Danio rerio: one gene and its partner. The protein of the gene in region 1 interacts with the protein of each later gene in a biochemical or structural test. Links are inferred from orthologs where the notes say so. Each region holds a gene or a part of one and is shown on either strand. Other genes may lie near its edges.

Region 1 (3,657 bases):
AAAAGGACATTAACCCTTTTTGTAGTGAACAAACCCAAACTAATCCTAGGTTTCAAGATTTACTTTAATTTTACTTTACTGTACTAATCGTATTTCTATGAGAAACTTCACAGTAAATCCACTGAAGTCTATCTACATTTTTTTGTACTTTAAAAGTGATATATAATCTTAGGCCTTAAAACAAAGAAACAAAAATAACAAGACAATCTTTCACATTACTTTTCTTAAAAAGTTACTAAGTAATAATTTAGTTTCTTTTTTTTTAAATAAAAGTGACCTAGGATTTTAAAGACATTTAAAAGCAACTTTAACACTGCTTATTTATTTTAATGATCACTATTTTGTTTAAATTATGCACTGTGTCAGACAAAAAACATAACTATTCCCTGTTAATAACAAACAAAGCGAAAATCAAGAAAACATGTCTAAAAAACTTTATACAAGCAGATGCTATGAAACCTCCACTTGTACAAAGGGAAGACAAATAAATTAACTAAAGATCAAATATACATGTTCGAATGTTCGCTTTTTTTATTTATTATTATTGTTTATTTAGTATTTATTTTGTTTTGTTTCCTTAAATTCTGTGTTCAGTTGACAGGACAAATCTCAGAAAATCTGGGTGAGGATGAGCGACTGGTTCAGGGTCTCTGTGCTCTGTTGTTGGGGATTTGTATCTACTATAACGACAACAGTTTAGAGAACTACACTAAGTATGTTTACTTTCTTGCTTTGTTTCCTTCAACGCTTCCTTTTGTTGACGAGTCTTATGACTAGGGCTGGCAGTTGATTTCAAATTAGTCACAATCAGTCTTATTTTATTTCCTCTTCATTTAGGTAATTAAAGTAGTAATTATTAAATGCTATGTCCTTTAACAGTGTTTAATATAATGATAGAGAACCAAATAAAATGGCAGGTGGTAGAACTTTTACCTTTAAGTAATGAACATGGAGCAATAGAAAGCAAATTTAAAAATATAACTCATTTGCAGAACTAAGCAAAATTTGTTTTGATGTTAAATTGATGTTAAAGAGATGGTTGACCCAAACCTTAAAGTTCTCCCATTATTGACTTTCTTCTGTTGAACAAAAAAGAAGATAATTTAAAGATAGCTGAAGTAAGTTTTTCATACTATGGATGTCAATTTTTTTACTAGTTTTCAGCATTCTTTAAAATGTATTCTTTTGCATTTACCAGAATAAAGAAACTAAAAGTTTGACACCACTTAAATGTGAGTTAATAGTGTGTAAATGTTTATGTTTGGGTGAACTTTCCCCTAAAATATCACATATATTTATAACTACTAAACTTAAAAATGCTCTCTCTCATTATTTACAGTTCTACCTCAAACTCTGTTTAACAAAATATCTTTTTTTCTGTTCACAGAGAAAAGCTGAAGCAGTTGATTGAGAAGCGCATAGGAAAGGAAAACTTTGTGGAGAAATTGGCCTTTATAACGAAACACGAATTATATTCCCGGGCGGCTCAGAAACCTCAGCCAGCCTTTTCCACACCAGAACACATGCTGTTTGATCATGAATTTACCAAACTTGTCAAAGAGTTGGAAGGTAAGTGTCATATTTGAATTTGTTTACCCTTGTGAAGCTGATCTTTTAAGTGGCTAAATGGCTAAATTAAACTCACAAAAGGTTAAAAAAAAAGCCCTTTTAAACAGACATTTTAAACAGCCTTAAAGACACAACACTATGTGAAATTTGACTACTGCAACCCTTTAGGATGGGCCAGAAGGTTTCTATTTTCGTAATCTGGTGCTCTTTGATTGTTCACAGGTATGATAACAAAAGCAGTGCTAAGGTCAAGCGAAGAAGAGAAAAAGGAGGAAGAGGTTAAGAAAACACTAGAGCAACATGACAGCATTGTAACCCAATACAAAGAGTTGATCAGAGAACAGGTAAAAATGCACCAAACAATTCAATATCCTATTCACTCATTGAAAATTGAAATAAGTGTCACTGAGTGTTATTAGAAGACTTGTTTCTATAAATATTCTATAAGTAATCATGCTGTGAGTTTATTAAATGATTATTTCTTTGAGTATTTGATTGTCGTCTGTAAGCTGATACACTTAACCATATTGAAATGCAATTTTTCTGTATTAAAAGCAATATAGGTCTTAAGAAAATGGGTTTCTCCTTATTAAACAGTGCTTTCTCCTTCATCTGCAAGCTTTCTGGAAGAGGATTTCTAAAAAAAAAAAAAAACAGGCATACTTTGTTAAACCTCCCTCTTTATCCCTCTTTAATTGCAGGATTCTCAGATAAACGAGCTGAAAAAACAAGTGACTGCTCTTACATCCCAGACTGAAAATTTGGAGAGCACCATAACACAACAGCTTTCTCAGATCCAGCAGCACAAAGATCAGTACAACATCCTCAAACTTAAACTAGGTACCGAGCAAACATCAGATAAATGTCCATTGAATTAGAAGTGTTTAAATAGAAATCCATAGTATGTGGCTCTTAAACCAATTTTAACAGAATCACTGTAACGTATGTTCACTCCTTCTTCACATTGTGCAGGTAAAGATACGCAGCAGGCAGGTAATCAGGCAGAGGCAGCTCATGTCAATGGCCTCCAGCCAGAAGAGCTAAGTCAGCTCAGAGAACGACTCGAGGAAGTGCAAAGACAAAACCAGCTATTGCAGACACAACTGACTGAGAAGGACTCTCTAATAACCAGCCTGGTATGTGTGTGTCTGTTTCCTGAAATAGATTTTTTTATATATATGGCTATAATGTATGTTACCCTAATATGAAACCATTTGCATTTTTATTCATGCATTTAGCATTTAAAAAAAAAAAAAAATACAATTAAACTGGGGGCGTCTTGGCTGACACGTCTCTACAATATCACATGGTGGTCGGGGACAGTGCCTCTGTACTGGGCAATTGGGGTGGTGGTTCCCATTTTTATGAAGGGGGACCAGAGGGTGGACTTGTTTCCAGTGCATTTTGGACTCCAGTAGGGCTGTCCTTTGAAATTCTGTCCATAAAAATTATGAACGGAATTGCTGACAGAGCGTAGCCTTGGGCTGGAGGGGGTACGGTTCGAGGACCATTGGATCTCATCTCTGTTAATCACAGATGATGTTGTTCTGTTGGCTTCATCGAACATGGGCCTTCAGGATGCACTTTGGCAGTTTGCTGCCGAATGTGATGCGGCTTGGATTATAATGAGCACCCTCAAGGCCACGAAGCTCCACCGGAAAAAGGTGGTTTGCCATCTCCAGGTTGATCTTACCCCAGGTGGAGTTCAAATATCTTGGGGTTTTGTTCACGAATGAGGGAAGGATGGAGCGTGAGATTGACAGGCGGATTGGTGCAGCGGCAGCAGTAATGTGGTCGATGTACCGGTCCGTTGTGGTAAAAAAGGAGCTGAGCTGAAATGCAAAGCTTTCGATTTACCGGTCAACCTACATTCCTACTCTCACCTATGGTCATGAGCTTTGGGTCATAACCGAAAGCACAAGATCTTGGATCCAAGCGCCCGAAATGAGTTTCCCTCGCAGGGTGGCAGGCCACACCCATATAGATAGGGTGAGGAGCTATGTCACCCGGGAGGAGCTCAGAGTAGAGCCGCTGCTCCTCCACATTGAGAGAAGTCAACTGAGGTGGCTCGGGCATCTGTTTCGGATG
Region 2 (3,657 bases), on another chromosome or scaffold:
AATGTTGACCTGTTTGTAATAACCAGATATTGTTGTAACTGTTAGATATTGCATTGTTCATGTCTGCTGTCAATGTAATGTTTTATTCTCCATTCATTTTTAGTGGCCAAAAGGAAGTCTTTGTTTGATGATAAAGCAGTGGAGATTGAGGAGCTAACATACATCATTAAACAGGTTGGTAAAGACTTGTCATTCTCCATATCCAGTGCAATGAAAAACATCTCAGTACCTGCTTGTCCTTACATTGATGTTAAAGATGGCAAGTGTTGATAATTTTGTTTACTAGAATCCTGTATAAGATCAAGCCTCTAGCAGTGATCTGATGCAGTCTCTTTTTTTATCTGTCTGTCCCTCGCATCAGGATATCAACAGTCTGAATAAGCAGATAGCACAGCTGCAAGACCTTGTGCGATCCCGCAGTGGGCAAAATGGCCGCCACATACAGACACATTCCAACACAATTGTCGTCTCATTGCAGGTACACTTTCCTATCTGACATTCCACTCTTTCTGTGTTTATCTTACATTTCCTGCGCTGTAGACAGTAGGGGTGGTGGATCTCGTTTTGCTTGACATCAGATGACTTGACAAGCCGCCACACCTTTCATTTTTCTGACGCAATACAGTTCACCATGTAAACAGTCTTATCTGGGAATGTTTGTGTTGCAGTCTAAGCTGGCATCAATGTCCAATGATTTCAAGTCAGTTCTGGAAGTGAGAACAGAGGTGAGTTTTATGTATTTATCATTTCTTTTTTTTTTCTTTTTGCTTTTTTTTTGTGTGGATTCAATTCATATTTCTGGATTTCTAAGTAGCGGAAGTCGTCATTTGGGTAAACCTAGAGCTCAGTGAATGGTTATTATTTCAACAAACTATTTGTTGAAATAATAAAATAAAGACTCAACAATGGTGTTATCAAAACTTTCAGAATAAGCAAAAAAATTATGTGAGACTGATAACAGCAGCCAGAAGAGAGAACAACGTCAAATTTACTGTTCTGCTCATACACGCTGCATTACAAACGCACAAGAGGTAATTTGATGCAAAGATTAAATAATGCACTACCTGACAAAAGTCTTGTTGTTCATCCCAGTATTAAGAGCAACAAATAATAACTCAACTTCTAGTTGATCTCACAGAAATCAGTCAAGTTTGGTGAAGGAAAAATCATGGTTTGGGGTTACATTCAGTATGGGGGCGTGAGAGATAGCGAGATGTGTGAAAGATCAGCAGGATATCGATCCTTTTCATACTTCAGCCTCTGCATCATGGAGTAAACCATGGCTTTATATTGTATACTGTACATTATTTCTGTTAAGTGACAAGTCTTTTGTTTAAGCAAAGTCGGAACTTACTGTCCTAATTCACTGATTAAAAATCAAAGCATGATCATATTTTATTTTGGTAAATTAAGCGTAATCTAGAGGCCTTTGCATTTTATATAAGCCACTTCTGGTAGAAAATTAACTAGAAGAACTAGAAGTCAAGTTATTATTTCTTGTTCCTAAAACTTGGATAGGCGACAAGACTTTTGTCAGGTTGTGTACATGCGGAAATGCATATAAATGTACTTGCGTATTATAATTTTTTAAAAGTCAAAATATTCCTGTATTTCAGTTTATGATGACCATTATATAGGTCATAACATCCTTGTGAAAAAGGTCCATTGCTAAGTGGCAATTGTAGCACTTAATAATTTAATAATGTCATCATTTCTGTGATGTTTTTTTTTTTATGTTTATTCTGTGCTTTAGTTACACAATACAAAAGTGTTTACAGTGCATCTATACCGCTTTTTACGCTTGAAACCGTTAACCTGTAGTCATCCTACATCCTGGATAAACTGAATCCTGGGTTATCTATAATCAAGTTTCACACTACTCTTAATACACCTGGCTTTAATGAATAATCTGGGGTATTCGTTAACAGACATTTCGCACTAAACAGTCCTAAACACAGTGTCAATGTTTGGTAACACTTTATTTTGATGGTCCATTTTAGTATTAGTAGACTGTCTGCTTAATATCTGTTGATATGCTCCTTCAACAGACATTTAACTGACTATAGGAAACATGGCAAGTACATGTCAACTTACATTAACCCCAACCCCGACCTAACTGTCTACTTATAATCTAATGAGAATCAGTTGGCATGTAGATGCAATGTAACTTAAATTCAACAAACGGAACATCAAAATAAAGTGCGATCCAATGTTTTCATTTGCATTGTCAATGTTGCTGATTAGACGAACAACAGGTAACCTTTTACACGGCGTATGTTAACGTGTCATCAATTACAAAAAAGCAAAGTTTGTCATCTGAACATCTCCTAATCACTCCAGTTTACACGCTTTACATCTTTTAATATTACTTGCTTTTTTCTCACTGACTGCTGGTTACATGATGCTCATTTCTTGTTATTGGTTCGACATGACCTCGGGGCCTGTACCATGAAGATGGATTAGTTTGCTAACCAACTAAGCGATGCACCAGTCTTGGGTTTTAGGTAACATAAAGGCAGCTTGACTCAAATAAATCTTTGGTATTATGGAGCAGCTGAGCTACCTTTGTTATGTTCATGGTGTCATTTAAACAGAAGCATAACTGGCTATCCAGCTAATCTAGCTTCATAGTGCAGTCCCCAGGAGTTAAAAGTGGTGGTTAGAATGATGATAACCAGGGCGAGGCACAGTGTAAAAGAAGCCTTATGGTTAGTTTTGACAATTCTTGTCGCCATTTTTGAAAAGCATTTTTAACTCAATAAAAGATTAATAGGGAACATGACTTCACAAACTAGATGTCCATTTGCTTTTTCACAATGAACTTTTAGATTTCAAATTGGAGGCAGCCAATGCACTTTAATTATGATCAATGTGAAGATGCCAAAAACAATAGAAAGCAAAAAACGGGGCAGACTGACTAAAAACGAAAAAAATAAAACTTTGACCGATTTATCTCTTATCATTGTCCTCATGTTTGTTTTAGCTTTCAGGCAAGCTGTATTCTGTTGTATACTACTTGAATTTAATGAGTGAATTATTATAATGTTTTTTTTTTCTTCTTTTTCTTCAGAATCTGAAGCAGCAGCGCAGCAGAAGAGAGCATTTCTCTCAGGCTCCTGTCTCTGCCTCTCCTTTACTCGCCAATAACTTCAGTACGTCTTTTCCTCAGTACTGTCATGTTCGTTTTTTTCTGTTGTTATTAGGTTTGACCTTTTTTTCTTTTTTTAATTTTTGTTAGTTCAGATTTAAACTTGACTTTTTTAAACATAAGCCTATTTTGCAACTCTCCTAGGGCTCTATTTTGATGATCCAAGCACAAAGTCTAAAGCGCATGGTGTGTCCGAACCCACATTTTGCTATTTTAAGGTCGAAAAAATATGTTTTGCGCCCCAGTGCATGGTCTAACAGGGTTGAGCTTATTCTCTTAATTAGTTATGGGTGTGTTTTGAGCATATTGTGCATTAAACCAATCAGAGTCTCATCTTGCATTACATTTAAGAGTCATGCCATGGTGCATTTGCGATTTACATAGCGGACTTTGTGAAAGAAAAAACTGAATGCTTCCCTTAAATGCAGTAAGGATAAAACATGAGTCTCCTCCATTCAACCTCTTTACTTTTACTCTTACTTTACTTTCGTGGATAAGGAAACGGTGTT

What was found.
Region 2: the proteins of uso1 (region 1) and stx5a form a complex in vitro, tested with the Homo sapiens proteins (2 studies listed by BioGRID). The link is inferred for Danio rerio from reciprocal best matches to the Homo sapiens genes USO1 and STX5.

Annotation. Positions count from the first base shown.
Region 1 is NC_133176.1:28,145,084-28,148,740, forward strand, and holds part of uso1 (general vesicular transport factor p115), read left to right. Parts: intron 1-594; coding exon 595-713; intron 714-1,387; coding exon 1,388-1,569; intron 1,570-1,791; coding exon 1,792-1,913; intron 1,914-2,270; coding exon 2,271-2,409; intron 2,410-2,541; coding exon 2,542-2,705; intron 2,706-3,657. UniProt on the Homo sapiens protein: General vesicular transport factor required for intercisternal transport in the Golgi stack; it is required for transcytotic fusion and/or subsequent binding of the vesicles to the target membrane.
Region 2 is NC_133189.1:9,156,851-9,160,507, forward strand, and holds part of stx5a (syntaxin-5a), read left to right. Parts: intron 1-103; coding exon 104-174; intron 175-361; coding exon 362-478; intron 479-668; coding exon 669-725; intron 726-3,070; coding exon 3,071-3,152; intron 3,153-3,657. UniProt on the Homo sapiens protein: Mediates endoplasmic reticulum to Golgi transport.